3 linked regions of the Macaca fascicularis genome follow. The protein of the gene in region 2 binds, or shares a complex with, the protein of the main gene of each other region. Links are inferred from orthologs where the notes say so. Each region holds a gene or a part of one and is shown on either strand. Other genes may lie near its edges.

Region 1 (3,746 bases), on a different chromosome or scaffold from region 2:
GAGTAGAGGAAAAACAGGGTGGTAGCTGAAAGAGGATGTGATTTCTAAAGAAGCTTTTCTTTTGAGCATCTCGCTCTGTCACTCAAGCTGGAGTTCAGTGGGGCGATCACCACTCAATGCAGCCTCAAACCCTGGGCTGAAGGGATCCTCATGCCTCAGCTTCCGGAGTACCTGGCGCACGCCACGTAAGGCTAATTCTTTATTGTTGTTATTATTATTAGTAGTAGTAGTAGTAGTAGAGATGGGGTTCTATCTTGCCAGGCTGGTGTGGAACTCCTGGGCTCAAAGGATCGTCCCGCCTCGGACTCCCAAAGTGCTGGGATTACAGGCGTCAGTCACCGCACCCGGCAAGGCTTTTTTTTTTTTTTTTTTTTTTTTTTTCCAATTATTATTTATTATATGAGACCTTACTAATTTTTTAAAATTCTGATGTAAAAGGGAACATAGAAAGTACCCGTAATCCCGTGTCTGCATGTTAAAAGTAGACGCTTGAAGTGCTCCAGAAAACCCATGGCTCCTCCCCATTCAATCTAGATAAGGCCTTGAGTAAAGAGCACCCATGGGGAAGTCACAAGAACCTAGGAAACAAGTCAGAAACCTGTGGACCTGATACTTCCAATCACAGGCAATCTGTTGCTTGCTCTTCAGCTCATCACACCATCCCCTCAAATTTCTTCATCTACAAGAAAAGGTTTTAAGATAACGGACCCTGAAAAACTAATGACATTTATACACCCTCTCTGCACAAGAATGTCTTGTAACACATAACCTTGCTTGCATTTTCTGGGGTCCTCGGGGTCCAGCGATCTCGTACAAATCCTCTACCCCACAGCTGACGTCCCTCGGCCCGTGACACAAGGCGCAGGCGCAAGACGCGGCCCGCGGTGGGCGGGGGAGGGGCGGGGCGCGTCGGGCGGCCGCGCCCTCGAAGCTTCCGCCAGGCCCTTCCGGAAATCCAGTATCGTGGGGCGACGGCGTAGAAAGTGCTTCCCGGAGCGCCGAAGAGGTCATCAATCATGTGACGGTGGCTTGAGGAGGAACCTGTCTTTAAAGCTGTCCCTGAAGTGACAACGGAGAGAACCAGGCAACCCAGAAACCCCAGGTAACTGGCGCTACTTTGCCTGGTTTGAGGCCTAGTCCCGGAGGTGGCGCGGGTGGTGAGACTAAACAGAAGGAGAGGGCCCCCTCTTCTTTTCTTTGGGCCTAGCTCTTTGGGGTGGAGGGGCAGGGATGGGGTGGGCTGAGGCAAGGCGTGCCAGCTGAGTACCCGTGGGGGTGTTGGGGCACTCCGACTCCCACTGGGCTCGCTGGGCCAAGCCCTAGAACCGCGGGGGTTTTGCCGGGTTCTGACCAGGGCTGATCTTGCTTATTAAGTTGGGGGTGGGGAGGACGAGGAAGCCAAAGAGGTAAGAGTCACCGGGAGTTTCTCTTCCAGGCGTGGAGATTGATCCTGCGAGAGAAAGGGGTTCATCATGGCGGATGTGAGTGACACCCCCACATAAGAGGAAGGGAGAGTGGGGAATTTGGAGGGGAATACTGAGCGGGGAGAGGTAGAAGATCCTCCCATCCCCACCCATCCCAGTTAATTATTTTCTCTTGTATGTGAAATGGGAGACTAATATGAATGAATTTGCAGGATCCTGAGTTTCTGCCTCGAATGGGGGTGGAGGACACTAAGGTGCTTGAGACTGAGAAAATTATATTCTCCCTACTCACCAATCCAGCTGGGGTATAAGAGAGGCTCTGTGTATTTACCATTTGAAATTCTGAATGATGGTTCGCTGCTTTTCCTGTCAGAATTTGGTCAGTAGGACATGTACCCAGAATACTTTTTTCCAGTAAGTGGTAACAATATCTTATTAGGTTTATTGTGGCAATTTACGATGATTTCTAACCCATGCCTCTTTAGAAACATAACATGAAATAAAATGAGGGGTGTGTGTGTGTGTGTGTGTGTGTGTGTAGGATGAGAGCAAAAATAAGCCAATAGTCATAACATGAAATAAAATGATCATTCGGGTTTGGAGAATAGTAAGTGTTGGAGGCTCAAAACAACAGATATCTGATTAATCCATGCGAGGTCAAAATTGATACCTCAAGTGTCAGTGAAATTCCTGGGATGAGAGAGTGTAATGAGACAAAATAAGATAATCTTCTGGCCGGTGAGGTGGCTTCGTCTGTAATCTCAGCATTTTGGGATGCCGAGATGGAAGGATCACTTGAGGCTGGGAGTTCAAGATCAGCCTGGGCAACGTAGCAAGACCCCGTTATACAAAAAGAAATTTAAAAACCAGGCGCATTGATAACCCTGTAGTCCCAGCTATGCTGGAAGTGAGGCGGAAGGATTGCTTGAGCCCAGAACTTGGAAGTTGCAGTGAGCCCCAGCTTAGAAAAATAAAATAGTCTTATATTTCTTTAGTCTTAACTGTGTTTAGTGTTAAACACTTGACACACTTCGCCATTTATCTTATATTCTGTAAGTCTGGGCTGGGCGTGGTGGCTCACGTCTGTAATCCCAGCACTTTGGGAAGCCAAGGCGGGTGGATCACCTGAGGTCAGGAGTTCGAGACCAGCCTGGCCTACATGGTGAAACCATATCTCTACTAAAAATACAAAAAATAAGCTGGGACGTGGTGGTGGGTGCTTATAATGCCAGTTACTCGGAGGTTGAGGCAGGAGAATCGCTTGAACCTGGGAAGCAGAGGTTGCAGTGAGCCGAGATTGCGCCATTGCACTCCAGCCTGGACAGCAAGAGCAAAACTCCCTCTCAAAAACAAAAAAAAAGACTGTTGCCTCACATAGTCATATATAATTTATTTTAGGTCCTTAAACAGAATATTTTAATAATTATGTTATAATAATATGCCTTACACTGTTTCATTATTTGTTGAGTAGGTGAGTTCAACAAATAATGAAACAATGGAAGGCATATTTTTATAATGTGAGACAACAGTCTTACAGAAGTCATATCACCTTACCCAAGACCATTAAAATGATGGTGGAAAGTCTATCTTTGAACCTGGAAAGGTGTTTATAATGTCTTCTCAAGTGAACACAATAGCAACAGGATATAAAACACTAGTATGAAAATTATGATATATTTTTATGGCTAAAATGTATTTGTGTTTCCCATTTCTAGGTATGCTAATCCATGCAACTTCTCAAAAAACTTTAACAGCACTCTTATGATGTAGGTTCTATATTAGCCCTATTCAACAAATAATGAAATAGGCTTAGGGAAAAAAGGTTAGTTAACTTACTCCAAGTTGCATGACTAGTAAACATCCAAATCAGACAGAGAAAGATAAAACACAGCAAGAAAGGTTATGAATGATAACTGAACGTCCCTAAAATTTGGATAGGACAGGATCTAGAAAACAGTGGAAGGCCTATTATTATAACATGATTTTTTAATATTCTCTTTCAGGACCTAAAGCGATTCTTGTATAAAAAGTTACCAAGGTAAGAAATTTTTAATTTGTTACTGAATAAATTCTATATGCCATATGTTAATTTTATGAAGTATTTTGTCTGTGTATTTTCAATGTTTTGAAGTATCTCTGAGATTTCCTTTAATATGAATATTTTTTGCCAGCATCATGTCCTCTGGAAAATTTTCGTCACAACCGCTTTCCTCATTTATGTCAATAAGTTTGCCTTCACTGAGTTCTCTGTGTATCTAGAGGGATAGTGTCAGCATTCCCTTGGTCACCTGTTTCTTCTATAACTCTTTATTTGAAATTCAC
Region 2 (3,746 bases):
GGCTGCTGGTAATTCCACTGAGTCTGAGGCAGGGTCCCCAAGAATCAAAGCTGCCTCAGATTCAGGTCTGTTCAGCTTTGACAGTGTTCCCATCATCACTGGACAAGGGACAAGAACAGTCTCATCCAATCTGAGGTTAGCCCAAGCCAGGTCTCAGCTAGGAGCTGACACCCTAAACCCTTATCTCCTGGATTCATCTTCAGTGCCTCTGCAAGATGCCCCCTGCCCCCCATCTTACTCTCATAGACCTGAGTAGTCAAAAGTAGAATGAATAGGACAGAGGGGCCAGAACCAGCACATGGATGAATATACTTCCTTTATCGAGGGTGACAAACCAAAACAAAAAAAAGACCAAACATGTAAAAACCCAGGGTTCTAGAAATACAAACTCAATTCATTCAAATTCAAGCTCATCCAGACCCTGGTCACAAACCCTCGTGAGGTGCATGTGAGCACCAAGTCAGGGAGAGGGGGCAGGAGTGACTTTGAGGCCAAGAGAGAGGGTGGGAAGGGGATCTCCCTAGGTCCCCTGGTGATCACCCCCCACCCAAACTGGTATCTCCACATTCTCAATGACTATGACGACATACCAGGCTCTGTCCTTTTGGCCCCCACCCTATCCCTGGCCAGAGCTTCAAAGGCCAGTCCCAAAAGGTTCTACCCTCACTTGCTCAGGCTTCTAGCCTTCCTCTTCTCCTCCTTCTTCACATTTTTCTCTGTGATTAGTAGCAGGTTAGGGTACTATATAAGCCGCAGTGAGGCTGGGGGCCAAGGGGGTGGGGTAGAGATGGGAGGAAGAGAGGAGAAGAGCTGTCCAAGGACCCCTCTCTTCACGGGATCCCAAACTGTACAACCAGCTCCTCTTTTGCGTCCACACGGATCTGAGAAAGTGCACTGTAGGCATATGCAGCTATCCTGGAGACCTAAGACAGAGAGGGACCGGGGAGGAGAGGAACAGAGACAGGTGAGGAGGCCGATCAGGAAAAAGAGGGAGGGGAGATTAGATGGTGATGAAGGAGAAGGAGGGAATGATGGGGAACAGGAAGGCAGAGAGAAAGACAGGGATGGGAGAGACAGAAGGAAAAGAACAAAGGGGAGTGAAACAATAAAGGTTGCGGGAAGGAGATAGGAAAGACATATGTTAAGAGAACGAGGTGAGAGGGAACTGGGGCCCACAAGGCTACCAGGCTCCCTAACTCCATCTTCCCTACCTCCTCTGAGGCAGAGTGGGTGAACCCTCTGCCACACCCTGGGCAGTGTGGGAAGGGTGGGCAGGGGCAGGCAAGGGGTGTCTCACCTGCTGCAAATCAGAGAACGGGATGGGCTCACTGGCCAGCACTTGGTGGGGCTGGCTTGTAAGAGACGGCAGCGGTGGCAGCTTCTTCCAATGGGTCAGGCTGCTGCTCAGCACAGCCAAGCGGGTGCTGACCGAGAGAGGGGGTGGGGGTACGCAGTTAAGCCACAGTTTGCCCTGCCCAGCCCAGGTAAGCCTCATCCCCTCAGGCCAGAGAAGCAGGGTGCTGAGGGGGGTATCTGGGAGGGAAGGTCTCAGCTCATCACAGACTCACTCTAGGCCCACCTCCCTTGGCCTCAATGCCCTCGAGAGTGTCACAGGGTAAACAGGGCTGACATGAATATTTACTGAAGCACCCAAGTGATCTGTGGTCAGTCTCCAGGGCTGCACCAAATGAGAAGCTTGGACTAGGGGCCAGGCTCCAAAGCTGGAACAGTGATGGAGGGTAGGAGCCCAAGTAGCCTGAGGGACCCACGCTGGCCAGGTGCTCACCTGTACTGCCTGGCACGGTCCATGTACTCATGCTGCTCCATGCCCTGTGAGTCTGCAGCAGATACATCAATGATGTTGCTTTAGGGAGAAGAGACAGAGATGACATGACAGGTGCTTTTGAGAAGGACAAACAGGACTCAGTGCCAGGTACCAACTCCAGGGTTATCTGACTCCAGTTTCCCTCCTGCCTACTGGCGCAGGGCTGGACATGGAGGCACCTCTCTCCAGTGACCTTATCCCATCCCCCATGTCCTGAGCCTCGCTCCTTCTATCCTGGCCTTTAATATGGATAGAGGAGCTCTGACCCAGGCCTGGTCCTCTGACATTTACCTGGCTGTCTTGGCAAGGATGGAAGAGAGTAGGGCCTGCTCATCAGTGCGAGCGGAAGGCAGGCTGTGGTAGTTGGGCTCGGCTCCATTGAGAGCTTTGGTAGGGGGGCTGCTAGGGTCCAGCAGCAGCTTCCGTTCCTCTCGGTCCTAGAAGTGGTCATGGGAGAGAAGTCAGCCCCAGGACCCTTAGATCCTGCCTTTCATGGGTGCTACCCTCAGCCCAGCTCTGACCTTAAACACCAAAAATATTTCTATAAGGAATATCCAAAGTGCCCAGCTTTATGGAATGCCAGATAAGACTCAGTTCCTGCCTATCCTTGGGAGCTCAGCTGAGTTGGTGTTCTAGGATAAACGAGAGTGGAGCCAGGCAGTCCTAGAGGCCCTGAAAAAAGGGACAGAGGCACAAAGCAGATAGTCAGCAACAGCCCTGGAGCTTGAAAAACATTCTAGGACCTGGCAGAGAAAGGATACTAGAGGCTGGAAGACAGAGGAGCTGAGACATAGCAAAGCAATGGGAGCTAAAGGGGAAACCAGTGCAAGTCAGGAGCCCAAGAACAGCCCTCCTCATCCCCCAGGACCAGGCCCTCCGCAGCAAAGCTGTTTCCTTCCAAGATGGAAGCCCTGGTGAGTCCAGACAAGGCCCTAGGCCCCAAGGGAAAGCAAGCCCAACCTCTCCATGGCCATTTCTCAAATTATGTCAGGGCAGGAATCCCAGCCCAGCTCTGGGTCACACAGTACAAGTGTGTTCCCTTCTTGAAGGCAGGTCCCTAGGAAGGTGTTCACCCTCTTATGCTCTGGTGCTCTTTTTCTATGTGACTCCCAGAATCAAACTGAGTGTACGAGGTGTATCCTGATCTGAGCAGTAGAGCTGTACCCGTGTGTGGTGATTCATACTGGGAATCCCAACACTTTGGGAGCCCAAAGCAGGAGGATTGCTTGAGTCCAGGAGTTTGAGACCAGCCCGGGCAACAAAGCAAGACCTTGTCTCTACAAAAAAAATAAAAAATTAGCTGGACTTGGTAGTGTGAGCCCTGCAGTCCCAGCTACTTGGGAGGCTGAAGTGCGAGGACTGTATGAACCCAGGGTTTGAGGCTGCAGTGAGCTAGGATTGTGCCACTGTACTCCAGCCTGGGCAAGAGAGCAAGACCCCATCTCAAAACAAACAACAATGGAGCTATTCCCGCCCTTGCTAAACCACCTGAGTAGCCCATGTAAATTTTCAGCAGCCCTGTTACTGCTGGCCTATGCTGATAATCACAACCCCTGAACTAACGTAAGACCAAACCAAGCTTCCTCACTGGTTTGGTCTTACTACTTGTCCTGTTTCAGTCCCCTGTTCTATCTACTGTAATATTTCTGGATTTGACCCTGCCTTGAGTCCATCAGCTGCAAATCCTTGAATGCTGTTATCAGTGGTAAATTGGAAAAACAAACCTGCTGGGTATCTATCCAACCCATAAAGAGCAAGAGTGCCCTGGACAAAGCCAAGGATGGGCCCAGGGGGACATCCTGGCTAATGCTGACTCACCAACCTTCAGTGTCAGACTCCTCAATGCTCCCCTCCAGGCCTGTCTCAGTTCCTCAGTCTTTCCTGCTGCAGGCTCCAGCTCCCCTGCCCACAACTCCACAAC
Region 3 (3,746 bases), on a different chromosome or scaffold from region 2:
TATACTGATTCCTCCTTTAAAATATCTTCTCCCAGCCAAGCACAGTAGCTCATACCTATAATCCCAGCACTTTGGGAGGCCAAGGCAGGAGGACTGATGGAGGCCAGGACTTCGAGACCAACCTGGGCAACATAGCAAGACCCCTGTCCCTATAAATTTTTTTTTTTTTAATGGCTGGGCGTGGTGGTGCTTGCCTATAGTTCTAGTTACTTGGGATGCTGAGGTGGGAGGATCGCTTGGGCCCAGGAGTTCAAGACTGCAATGAGATGTGATCACACTACTGCACTTCAGCCTGAGTGACAGCAAGACTCTGTCCTAAAAAAAAAAAAAAAAAAAGGGCCGGGCGCGGTGGCTCATGCCTGTAATCCCAGCACTTTGGGAGGCTGAGGTGGGCAGATCACAAGGTCAGGAGTTCGAGACCAGCCTGGCCAACATGGCAAAACCCCATCTCTACTAAAAATACAAAAATTAGCCGGGTGTGGTGGCATACGCCTGTAATCCTAGCTACTCAGGAGGCTTAGGCGGGAGAATCGCTTGAACCTGGGAGGCGGAGGTTGCCCTGAGCTGAGATCATGCCACTGCACTCCAGCCTGGGCCACAGAGCGAGACTCTGTCTCAAAAAACAACAAAAACAAAAACAAAACTCTTCTCTCCTTGCTCCTTCTTACTGCCACTTGCCCAGTCTCATCTCTTTTTTTTTTTTTTTTTTTTTGAGACGGAGTCTTGCTCTGTCACCCAGGCTGGAGTGCAGTGGTGCAATCTTGGCTAACTGCAACCTCCGCCTTTCTGGTTCACGCCATTCTCCCGCCTCAGCCTCCCGAGTAGCTGGCGCCCACCACCACGCCTGGCCAATTTTGTTTTTGTATTTTTAACAGAGACAGGGTTTCACCGTGTTGGCCAGGATGGTCTAGCTCTCCTGACCTCGTGATCCACTCGCCTTGGCCTCCCAAAATGCTGGGATTACTAAAGACCTGAGCCACCTATGCCTGGCCCAGTCTAATCTCTTAATGATGCCTCCTTCTGCCCATCTTCACATCACTAACAACAATATTGCTCAACCACCTCACTGGGTCTTGTTTCTGTTTAAAAAACCTTTCAAGCTGTATTACCTCCAAGAAGAATAAGTTCAAGTGTGTTAACCTGGCCTTGAAGATCCTTCACAATCAGATCCTCCCTGACCATATCTTCCTCTTCCCTCAAATCTTCCCAAATCTTTTCAGCACAGACTTACCATCAGTTTAGAAAGGTCAGTGCCACACACCTGCAAATATGTCCACCTCCCCACTGTAAATACTCTCCTTTAAGCTGGGCTGAATTCCTACCTCCAGGGAAGTTAGTTACCTTGTCATAACATGTTGAATTTTTAATATCCTGGATTCCTTCAATAGTCTTTTACCACCTGTATTGTTTTCAACACTTAACCTTAAGCTTTGTCTCTAGCTAAATCAAAAACATCTAGAGACCTAACACTATACAGTACTATGGAACAAAATACAAATGACTCTTTAAGAAATATCAAATAAAGGCCAGGGATGTTGGCTCACGCCTGTAATCCCAGCACTTTGGGAGGCTGAGGCAGGTGGATCACCTGAGGTCAGGAGTTTGAGACCAGCCTGGCTAACACGGTGAAACCCCGTTTCTACTAAAAATACAAAAAATTAGCCGAGCGTGGTGGCACATGCCTGTAATCCCAGCTACTCTGGAGGCTGAGGCAGGACAATCGCTTGAACCCCGGAGGCGGAGGTTGCAGTGAGCGGAGATCGCACCACTGCACTCCAGCTTGGGCAACAAGAATGAAACTCAGTTTCAAAAAGTGTAAATAAATAAATAAATAAATAAACCGCAACCGTTAGGAGACTAAGATTCCACAGACTGATTACTGAAAGTAATTGCAAAAACTGCAAATACTTTTGTACCAACCTAATAGATGCCAGACCGCAAACCAGGTAAAAGTCGAGAAAAGAAGGGCCAATATTAGAAGGGGTTACCGGGCTGTGTGCACTAAGGGACCCCCTCCCTTTTCCAGAACGCACCGCCAGCACTGCACCTTCACTCAGTACCAGGTAGCCGAGCTGGTCTGGGATTCGCTCCAGCCCCTGGGTCAGTGCAGAAGTCTAGTGGGTAAAGATGCAAGTAGTGAGAAGCATGCTAGAGGGATGGATGGCCCCTGATACCCTTCACCTACAAACCCAAGTCTCTTGATTGGCGATGGCCCCAGGTTTTCTCATTCCCCAGCCAGGTCCTTTCCCGGCTCCCTTCCCCCTACATGGTCCTCAATACTGATCTTCCCGAGCCTCCATCTGCCCCCACTCTCGGCCCCCGGGCTCCCCTGGCCTTCCACGCTCCACCTATGCTACTCCGAGGGGACTTCGCTGCCCCACTGGCCCCTGCCCCCAGACCCTCTCTCCACCTCCCCGCCCCTGACCTGCAGACTACCCGCAGCCCCAGAACACCCTCCCACAGACCCCTCCCCAGCATTCCCGTCGCCATCCCTCCCATCTCCATCCCGTCTTCCTCCCCGAGCGGATAGGAGGTGAGGGTGGAGCGCAGACCCACGAGGGGGAAACCACACAGATTGGGGAGCAGAGACGCGGAACCCCCGGCGGGTCCTCCCGCGCATGCGTCCTCACTCACCATCGCAGTCTTCGGTGCTGGTGGAGCTCCCTACCAGATAGGTAGCTTCCGGCTTCAGGCCCCGGTCACGTGCTCGCACCCGGCGCGCTCCTCCTTCTGCTTGCTTCCCTACCCTTTAGCCGCGCCTCTAGCATGAGGATTGGATCGTGGCCACGTCGTCAGACCCAACCAGCCAGTGCGAAGCGCTCCTTCCCGGAGGCGCACGTTGATTGGTGATATCCCCTCTTTAACACCCATCTCTCCGCCTCTCAGTCAGTGCCTGAGCGAGAGGAGGCGGGAGTGCTTCCGCGGAGGGGACGGTGTGGGAGGGCCAGGAGTGGGACAGGGTTGACCGTGTGGCTCCGCGCGCGCTTTCTAGAGTCTGGGTTCCGCCTGAACCAGGATGCCCGCCAGTGTGACCTCCCAAACGAATGCCTTCCCAGGTTTAAGACTGGACCCAAAAAACGTGATAATAAAAGGAAATAACGTGCAATGCATGTAAAAAGCTATTCAAGGCTGGGCGCCCAACCTTCAAATGCTACTTTTATGCCTACTCAAGACCGCTCTTTGTTGAAGACAAGAATTTGTTCCCTTGGCCGGGCGCGGTGGCTCACAACTGTAATCCCAGAACTTTGGGAGGCCGAGGCGGGCGGATCACGAGGTCAGAAGATGGAAACCATCCTGGCTAACACAGTGAAACCCTGTCCCTACTAAAAAATACAAAAAATTAGCTAGGCGTGGTGGCGGGCGCCTGTAGTTCCAGCTATTCGGGAGGCTGAGGCAGGAGAATGGCGCGAACCTGGGAGGTGGAGCTTGCAGTGAGTCGAGATGACGCCACTGCACTCCAGCCTGGGAGACAGCGAGACTACATCTCAAAAAAAAAAAAAAAAAAAAAAAAAAAGATTTTGTTCCCAAAGTGGTTTTTTGTCTTCAGATTCAGTCTGGGACAATGTGATGGTGAATAGAATCACCAGCTAGCCAATGCAGATACAATACTGAATATTCTCTGCAGGAAAAAATTAGAAACAGTACCTTGGAATGATACACACACACACACATACATACATACATACATACATACATCACACAATGTAAACATTGGAAATTTTTGTTTTAAATAATTTCTAGACCTG

Evidence for each region.
Region 1: LAMTOR1 (region 2) and LAMTOR3 share a complex: the UniProt entries of both Homo sapiens proteins name them as parts of the ragulator complex. The link is inferred for Macaca fascicularis from reciprocal best matches to the Homo sapiens genes LAMTOR1 and LAMTOR3.
Region 3: LAMTOR1 (region 2) and LAMTOR4 share a complex: the UniProt entries of both Homo sapiens proteins name them as parts of the ragulator complex. The link is inferred for Macaca fascicularis from reciprocal best matches to the Homo sapiens genes LAMTOR1 and LAMTOR4.

Annotation. Positions count from the first base shown.
Region 1 is NC_088379.1:105,533,836-105,537,581, reverse strand, and holds the start of LAMTOR3 (ragulator complex protein LAMTOR3), read left to right. Parts: upstream 1-1,012; 5' UTR 1,013-1,157; intron 1,158-1,435; 5' UTR 1,436-1,472; coding exon of another isoform or gene 1,473-1,481; intron 1,482-1,797; 5' UTR 1,798-1,814; coding exon 1,815-1,838; intron 1,839-3,427; coding exon 3,428-3,462; intron 3,463-3,746. UniProt on the Homo sapiens protein: As part of the Ragulator complex it is involved in amino acid sensing and activation of mTORC1, a signaling complex promoting cell growth in response to growth factors, energy levels, and amino acids.
Region 2 is NC_088388.1:70,860,003-70,863,748, forward strand, and holds the end of LAMTOR1 (ragulator complex protein LAMTOR1), read right to left. Parts: intron 2,263-3,746; coding exon 2,117-2,262; intron 1,865-2,116; coding exon 1,787-1,864; intron 1,425-1,786; coding exon 1,298-1,424; intron 924-1,297; coding exon 831-923; 3' UTR 300-830; downstream 1-299. UniProt on the Homo sapiens protein: Key component of the Ragulator complex, a multiprotein complex involved in amino acid sensing and activation of mTORC1, a signaling complex promoting cell growth in response to growth factors, energy levels, and amino acids.
Region 3 is NC_088377.1:48,816,007-48,819,752, reverse strand, and holds the start of LAMTOR4 (ragulator complex protein LAMTOR4), read right to left. Parts: upstream 2,712-3,746; 5' UTR 2,638-2,711; coding exon 2,635-2,637; intron 2,115-2,634; coding exon 2,034-2,114; intron 1-2,033. UniProt on the Homo sapiens protein: As part of the Ragulator complex it is involved in amino acid sensing and activation of mTORC1, a signaling complex promoting cell growth in response to growth factors, energy levels, and amino acids.